Oryza sativa Japonica Group: one gene and its partner. Each later gene encodes a partner of the first gene's protein in a complex. Links are inferred from orthologs where the notes say so. Each region holds a gene or a part of one and is shown on either strand. Other genes may lie near its edges. The genes, in order: COP9 signalosome complex subunit 7 and COP9 signalosome complex subunit 8.

The links.
Region 2: COP9 signalosome complex subunit 7 (region 1) and COP9 signalosome complex subunit 8 share a complex: the UniProt entries of both Arabidopsis thaliana proteins name them as parts of the CSN complex. The link is inferred for Oryza sativa Japonica Group from reciprocal best matches to the Arabidopsis thaliana genes FUS5 and COP9.

What each region holds. Positions count from the first base shown.
Region 1 is NC_089041.1:18,480,140-18,484,675, reverse strand, and holds the start of COP9 signalosome complex subunit 7, read left to right. Parts: upstream 1-1,441; 5' UTR 1,442-1,518; coding exon 1,519-1,689; intron 1,690-1,821; coding exon 1,822-1,897; intron 1,898-2,494; coding exon 2,495-2,583; intron 2,584-3,316; coding exon 3,317-3,406; intron 3,407-3,614; coding exon 3,615-3,659; intron 3,660-3,748; coding exon 3,749-3,819; intron 3,820-4,447; coding exon 4,448-4,536. UniProt on the Arabidopsis thaliana protein: Component of the COP9 signalosome complex (CSN), a complex involved in various cellular and developmental processes such as photomorphogenesis and auxin and jasmonate responses.
Region 2 is NC_089038.1:21,626,725-21,631,104, reverse strand, and holds the start of COP9 signalosome complex subunit 8, read left to right. Parts: upstream 1-1,319; 5' UTR 1,320-1,421; coding exon 1,422-1,505; intron 1,506-1,596; coding exon 1,597-1,673; intron 1,674-1,784; coding exon 1,785-1,966; intron 1,967-2,872; coding exon 2,873-2,980; intron 2,981-4,240; coding exon 4,241-4,380. UniProt on the Arabidopsis thaliana protein: Component of the COP9 signalosome complex (CSN), a complex involved in various cellular and developmental processes such as photomorphogenesis and auxin and jasmonate responses.

The DNA of each region.
Region 1 (4,536 bases):
CTTCTACTAATCAGTAACCTCAATATTCCCCTTTTTCATGTTCTAGCCGATATGTTTTCTTTTGACATCAGGTAGTTTATGGATGAAGAGGAAGAAACTACAAGTAAAGCCTTGGTGCCTCTAGCCGATAATGTGAAAACAACCTTGCTGGATATCTCAAAGTGGCTTGAAGGCTCCCTAGAAACTCTGGTGGTCAGTTGTGGATCAATCAGAGATAGATTCCTTGTAATCTACGACCAACTCCCAGATGAACTAGCCGATGTTATCACCCCAGCGGCATACCTCGAACAGCATCAGCTCAAGCTTGAAAAGGCTAAACAAAGGGTTGCTGATCGCCGTGAAAGAAAAGATCTTGAGGCCACCATCCAGGCTAGTAGGACTTCTATTAATGAAGAAAAGGCAAAACTTGATGAGTTGGAAGCTGGTCCAAGGTCCACTCAAGCCAACATAGATCGGCTGAATACTCGGAAGATAGAACTCCTAGCCGAATTGGAGCAGTGCAATGCACATATTGCTATTGAAGAACATAAACTTGCCGATCTGCCCAAAGCTACTGAGGATCAGAGATCATAGCTCAAATCTTCTGTCAAACATCTAGCTGATCTAATCAAGTCCCTGAAAGTAATTCTTGGATCTGATGCAGTCGATACCCAGATCATTGATGAGGTAGAACAGATTAGGCAACGAATTATATCGGCTATCCAAAAATATGTATGTGGATGAGCTAAACATGTAACATGTGAATGTATTTAGTTTGTTACCAAACATTGTTAATGCCTAGAGAATTTTGACAACAACATATTTAGTCTATCGCTCTATCCTATCAAAATTTAGTAATATTGTCAACTTGACAAAATTTTGGTATTGCTAAAATTTGAAAAATGTTTATTTTGGCAGTATAATACTCTCTCCATCTACTTTTGATAGTTATATTTTCAAATTTGAAAAATTTATTTTTGATAGGCATATTTCAATCCAACAACTTATCATCTTAATGACTTTCTCAGATTTAATGCATGACTCTCCATTCTTCCACACAAGATTGGTTGCATGGGCATCGAGAAATGTAAATATTAATGAATCGCTTGTTTACGAGAAATGACTAGTAGCATGTTTAAATGGATGATAAGTAGAATTATTTATCCTTGATCTGTGTGTCAAGATAAAATATGACTATCAAAAGCAGATGGAGGAGGAGTAATAAGAAGGCTAAAAAAAAATTGGTGTCTAAACGGGGAAGATGCATTCTTAATGGCAGCAATCCCCCACGTCGACACGCAGCCCAAGCGACCGTGGCCCTCCAGGCCCCGACTCCCGAGCACGAGTATGCGGCAACGAGCCGGACACCAGCACCACCCACCACCGTGGAGCCCAACCGAACCCGAAACCCACTCTCCCCACTACAATCCCACAAAACACAGAGAATATCACCGAGGCGAACGAAACCGAAAAGAAAGCGAAACCCCGATCCCCCAAACCCTAGCGCGTACTAGCCCCCCGGGCAAATCGCCGGCGGCGATGGCGATGGACGCGGAGCGGCGGCAGGCGGAGCTGATCGAGCAGTTCTCCGCGCAGGCGGCCGCCCTCTCCTCGTCGGCGCCGCAGCTGGCGGCGCTCGTGCTCGAGGCCACCTCCCACCCGGCCCTCTTCGCCTTCTCCGAGCTCCTCTCCCTCCCCGCCCTCTCCAAGGTATAAGGGACCCCCCGCCTCTCGCTCCGCCTGCGCCCCGCCGCGCCGCGCGTGTTTAGGGTTAGGGTTTTGGGGGTGGACCACCTCTCCTCCCCCCTCTGATTTCGATCTAATGTCAGTTCGTTGATGCAGCTCACTGGAACGCAGTATGCGTCGTCTCTGGACGTGCTCCGCCTCTTCGCCTATGGGACATTGAAGGACTACAAGAGTAAGATCACCCCCTCCCGTTGCGATTCGTACATTACATTGCCCTTATGTATGTGTTGTCATGCGTCATATGTGTATGCTTATTTGGTGCGTGAGTCTAGTGCATTGTCTTGTTGTTGTGTGTTAGGGGTACGCCCTATGAAATAGCCGCTTACCATGGACGCGATTGGCATGTGAGGGCCATAGCCCATATGTTTAATGGTTAACAATAGTGCTGATTTGTGTTAATGTTAATTCACACTTTTTTTTTGTGTTATATTGTTATAGGTTAATTTTTTGATGGGATTCACATACTAATTAATCATAATTCATCTTTGTCTTATGGTTTATATTCTGCAACAATATGTGGATAGAATTATCACATTTCTGTGCTTGAAATCATAATTTGAGCTGTGACAATCAATTTGCCTTTTCACCCACCAATATGATCAGTGTGTGTCAGGCTGTGGTTGCTAGAATTTTGTTGTTTCCTCTCTCATCGGCATGTCATTAAAACGGTCTGCAGTTTGTGGTATTCTCTGTTTATAGTAATATCAGATAAGTGCAGAACATGAACATTTACTGTTTCATTAATTGTTTTTAATTTTCATACATGTAGGTAATTCTGGCAATCTCCCTGCATTGTTACCTGATCAAGTCCGGAAGCTGAAGCAACTCAGCGTGCTAACTTTGGCTGAGTCAACCAAGGTGCAAATTTAGGCTGATACTGTCTAATATGCTATGCATTTTTTTTTTTGCTTATCCTGTGTACATAAAGTTACTAAGGGAGCGTTTAGATCCTTGGCAATGGGGATTTTAGCCTTGCATAGCAAGGGGAGTTATCATTTGGTAGTAAAAGAAAACAAATCTAACTTTCTCTGTCAATCTAGCTTAACAATTGTCAGAAAAAACTTGCTGTCAAAGGAGAGAAAAAATGGCCCCATCTTCATCGACAAGCATGTGAGCATGAACTGTTGATGGCACCAAATATCGTGCCTCGCTGCCTTGCTTATGTGGGCCATAGATGAAATGAGCAGGTTTATGCCAGGCTGAGCAAAGATAATTTAAGATCCAAATGTATCCTCACAGTTGTTTCATCAAATAATAGCTGGTCTGCATGTTTATTATCTAGGTTTTTCATTCTTCTTTCTTTACGTATGATGGGAAATAGTTCTATGCAGTTATATGTGTTAAGTGATAGTGATTCTCTGAACAGATAACAACCAATGCCAGAAACAAGCTTCTTCCATCCTATTATGTGTGCCCAATTTAGCTTTACACTATCTGTGAATACTATCTTATTCTTTATGTGCATAGCCTGTTTGAGTGTGCACTGGAAGTCAAGTTCATGTAGTATTATCTTTTACCTTAAAACTCTGTTCTATGTTTTTGCTTTAGACAATACTAAATGTGCTTGGTTTTTATTATCATTTCTATTCAGGTGCTACCATATGATCAACTCATGCAAGAATTGGATGTTTCCAATGTAAGAGAACTCGAAGATTTCCTCATCAATGAGTGCATGTACTCGGTGAGAATTTTTTTGCCTTAGGCACTTAAATCTCTATTTTCCATCTTCTAACCTCCCTAACAAAAACCATGTCATTACAAATATATCTTGTGTGGATTATTGCTCTTGTAAGCTCTCTAGCCTTTAGGATCATCGGTTTGTTTCTTGAACTTTTACACCATAGATGCTAGTATTCTAGTCAAATATTAACGTTTAATTGCTTCCCTAGGGTATTGTCAGGGGCAAATTGGATCAGCTGCGGAGGTGTTTTGAGGTCAGATGCTTGTTCTTACAAGTACATTGTTCATGGTTTCATTGTTTAGCTGGCAAATGATCCCCCTAAATTCTGTCTGTACTTGACAGGTACAATTTGCAACTGGAAGGGATCTTACACCTGATCAGCTGAACAATATGATAGATACATTATCTGACTGGTGTGTACCTTTACTTGAGTGATTGTTGCATCCCATCCCTATTTTTTGTTCACAGAAGTTTTAATGTTTGCATTTATATATGGTTCTCCCTCATATCTGATATGACCTTCTGAAAGATACATTGAGGTCATGTGTTATGGGAACTGCGGCTGGGTTATTTTGCTATGTTTATTTGTTCTAGACTCCATGTGTGTTGTCCCTTCAGGCTACTATTGTAGATGGTATGGTTTTGGTTGTTTTTTGTAGTTGGGTGCTGTAGGGATAATGTGAAATTGTGTCTTCTCTTGCCAACCCACTCTGTCTGCCTTTTAACCTTTTTAAGTTTTAATTATACACTATCCATTGTTTTTATTGTCAGTTCATAGCTTTATGTTTTAAATCATATAGAAGTGTTTCCTTGAATTTGTTAAAAGATGAATAACCTCTGAGGTTTTTCATTTAGACAATAGTGTATATGCATCATTTGGTGCTGATATTGTGCTTTTGACATTTCACAAGTAATCAGTTTATATGCTCGTGCTTTGACATTTTTACTCGGTCCATTTTATGTTGAAACATTATGAGGTGCATGTTAACGGGACCAATGGAAGTTTATTGGTACCAACTCATGCTGATGTAAATTGCACAGGCTGGGAACATCGGATAATTTATTGCATCAGATTCAGGAGAAAATTAAGTGGGCTGATACAATGAGTGAAGTGAACAAGAAGCACCAGA
Region 2 (4,380 bases), on another chromosome or scaffold:
AATTTTGATCTAAATTTATGACAGTATTACAATTTTACCCAAACTTACATTAAACTACAGACTTAAGAGGGTGTATCACAATAGCATCAAATTTACCACAATACTACAGGTCTAATGCATAATATTGTAGATCTACAAATTTGAACACTAATTTTATCACACAATCATAGCATGTAGCTCAACCCAAATATAAACTCTTGAAACTAGTAGTTTTATAATAATATTGATGTTAAAATTGTAATTTTGTGATATACATAAATTTGTAGTTACGAATAGTTCTGTGCAATTTACTCATTTCGTAACAGTTTTTATTCAACTCATTCAAACTACCATCAAATAGTATTTAATTTGTTTCGAATCAACTCATTCAAATAAAACCGTGATGTTGTTGCTATCAATGTTGATGCTGCAACTTTTCAGTAAACACGTCGAATGGGAGTGGGCATGGTAATAAAAAACTACACCTGTGATTTATTGGCTTGCAATGAGCGCACAAAAGAGGTTACCATAGTATAGCTTGCTGAAGCATTGGCTCTACGCCGCGTTGTTGCTCTCACTTGCGAAGAAGGTTTTCAAAACGCTAGTAATTCTGAATGCAGTCATACGGAGAGTTAACTCATTATCCATGGACCAATCTTCAAATGGCATAGTGATTGCAGACATCAAGGTCATAGCAGTGGGTTTCTCCTCTATTAGTTTTAATCATGTTTATCTATGTTGAATGCCGCGACTCATTTATTAGCTCGTTTCTGTGAACATTCTAGTGATGTTATGCACCGTAACGTAACCTTGGAGTGTATTCGGGAGATACTTTGTAGTAATGATTTACCATAACCAATAAAACACCGCTCTCTCTAAATAGACAAAACCAACCAGTAGTAGTATTCAATCTACTTCCAAATTTGAATCAAATAGTAGTCAAATTTGCAGCATGTTGGGGAAGCACTAGTGGGTGGTGATGGAGTCGTGGGTGCATGGCTCCATCCACTAGGGTTTAAATCCTAATAAGATAATAGATGTTTCACCGATCTCCATCTCTTAGAGTCTGCCATGTTATCTCATAAAGAAATCAAATCTAGGTGAACTTTTAGCAGGGTTTTAGTAACATAAAAGATGTTTGGCTGATTTCCGTCTCTTAGAGTCTGCCATGTAATCTCAAAAAGAAAAAAAAACTGCAGTATATGTTGGAGAAAGAAACAACCCTATCCCTCGCGGGCCAGCCTGGGCCGGACATGTCAGATGGGCCAGAGAGATACACGATTACACGTGGGTTTTTTCTTCCCCCCGTTTATTTCCTTTCCTGAAATTTCTCCAAATCTGCCCCAAATTCCGAATTTTACTCGAACTCCAAAAACCCTTCCCCTCTTCTCCCCTCGCCTCGGCCCGCCGGCGGCCGGCCACCACCGCCACCTCCTCCTCCGATGGATCTCGCCGCCGTCCACGCCGCCCTCGCCGGCAAGTCCTACTCCTCCGTCGCCCCGCTCTGCGACGACCTCTTCCTCCAGGTACCAATCCCTCCCCTCCCCACCCCTCTCCCGCCTCCCGCGACGCGAGGAGGGTTAGCGTAGCGCTCCTGACTCGGTGTTCCTCGCGCAGGCCGCGTCCCGGGGCGCCGCCACCGACGGCTGGCCCTACGCCGTGCACCTCCTCGCCCACCTCTACCTCAACGACCTGTAACGCCCCGCGATCTGCTCCCCCACCTCTCTCCCATGGAATTTTTCTGGGCTAGGGCTTCCGGGATTAATGTTGTTTTTGTGTTTCTGGGTGGGTGCGTGTGTGAGCAGGAACAGCGCGAGGTTTCTGTGGAAGTCGACGCCGCAGGAGGCGAAGGACGCGCGGCCGGAGCTCGCCGCCGTCTGGAGGATCGGGCAGTGCCTCTGGAACCGCGATTACGCGGGCGTCTACGCGGCCGCGCAGGGGTTCGAGTGGAGCCCTGAAATCGCCGACTTCGTGGCCGCCTTCCTAGGTACTGGTTGTTGCTTTACTGTTCATGATGGAAACGTGCAACAGTTGAATTATTCTGTGTCTTTGTGCAAAGTTGTATTGCTTACTAGAATGAATTGCATACTGTGGTAGTATTGTGTTGGAGGTCACCACTTTGTGGTGTGGGTTGGGAAGTCGGGAGATTCAGATGTGCATACATATACTTCATGGAGTAATTGTGGAAACGATTTATCTGCACAATCAGGCTGAATCAGCTTCCTTAATGAATACGCAAAGTTACTATTAGTAGAGTGCCCGTTAGTAGAGTTTTGTGCTGCGTAGTGTAATGGTTAAAGTGTTTATCTTGGAAATACTTGCTTCCTAAGATAGCCTTGTTCAGTGGGTTTATACTATCTCCTTAATAAGGACTAGTGATTTGATTATTTTCAGGCTGCTCATAAGAGTTTGGTTCCCAAGAAGTTCAGTTTTGTTCCTATTTTTACTTCTAATTGACAACATGATGCAACAATTCTAGATGCACAGAGGATGTTCATTAACTCATGCTTCAATCAAAATAAACACTTTGTAGTTATCATTTATGAGTGAAACTGTTGAATGTATTAATGTAATAGCATTATAATTAAACATTTGCACTTTTTTATAAGGTGATTGTTAACATTTTACCAGCAGTCATTGTGACACAGTAGTGGAACTAGAGAAGTTAAGTTCTTTCCATGAAGTGCTTACTATGACATATACCATAATAATACGTCAATCAGGATAATAAGTTAATAACATCATGATTGTTTCCCTTTTGCTTGTTTAACCAACTAATCTTCTAGTATTATTTTTATATTAGGAAATAAGTATAAAGCCTGCTGTTTTATATTTTTTTTAGTATTTATAATTGGTTAACTTGAATATCCAATATTGTTTTCTGATTACACAGAAAGCTACAGAAAGAGGATTTTCCAGTTGTTGACTTCTGCATATTCCACAATCAGCGTTGCTGATGTGGCTCACTTCATGGGGATGAATGAGGAGGATGCTACTAACTGTACATTTTCTGAAACTATCTTGTTGCTGTACTATGTTTTTTAATGTTAAGTACAATGTTCTGACTATCTTCATGTTAATCAACAGTATAGATCATAGAAGTTCTGACATGGTTAATATGGTGTTTTTAGTCATCTTTATCTGTAGAAATCATCCAAAGTCCCAATTTTAGGATACACTGCATCCTTTTCAACTTCCATAGCATTTCTTCATAGATTATAATCTTTCGTCCAATATGTGTTTTTGCAAGTTCCTTGAATTTTGGAAGGTAAATGTTTCTCCCTATGTCTCAAAATATAACAACTTTTAACCCTCAGGATTTGTCCCAAAATATAACAACTTCTCCACCAACATTCTCTTTCCAACCAATCACAACCCTCCACCATTCACTTTTCCCACCTACCTCCACTACTCATCCAATTACAACCCTCCACCATTCACTTCTATCTACTTTCTTAATAACCGTGTCCAACTCTAAAACTCTAAAACAATGATGGTGCCCCTATGGACTTCTTTTGGGTAGCACTTCTATTGTACTGACTGGATTATAACACTGCATATTACATTACTTTCCTTTCACAATAGAAAATAGAAACCTCTCCTTCATACAATACTTGAATTCCATTTTGTGCCATCAGTGTTGTCCACATTTCTCCTGGATTGAGCATTGTACATTCTAGGTTTGAATAAAGTGTCAGATATTTTGTTGTCTTTGAGACTCGGTTGTGTCAAAATTAAACATACTTTTGTGTGCATGAATTTTAGTTTGTTTTGATCATTGTGATAATGCTGGCCCATTGATTTTGATGTTCACAATGAGGTATATCCACAATTTCACATCTAATTGGCTATCTCTGTTGGCTTGAGTACTGTTGTGGAGTATAAAATTAGTAGAAATTTTGGCACAACCCACTCAAAAAGAGTTGTCTTCATTTTACCATTTCAATATAGTGAATGCATTCTTCTTCCTTCTAATTACCAAAATTTTTCGTAGGTCATTCATGTAACATATTGAAAATTATTTTTTTTTTGTGGTCAATGCATCAAGGCTCGTGTATCCCTCTTTCTATGGCTATAACTAAAACTTGCTATATTTGAAACATATTGAAAAACATATTGAATATTTTTGGAATAAGCATCCCTCTGTATTTGAAGCATTTTTAGTTCTGCAAATTTTATTATGCTATTGTGTTTGACTTTCTGCATGATATTTGCCTGCTTCAGAAGCTGATGACAATAGTTGTCTTAATAATCATTACAGATGCCATGCAAAACGGTTGGAGCTTGGATGCGGCAGCCAGGATGCTTACTGTCGTAAAACCAAAGGTTAAGACTAACCAGAAGCTCGATGCAAGCAAACTTCAGCGATTAACTGAATGCGTCTTCCACCTGGAGCACTAA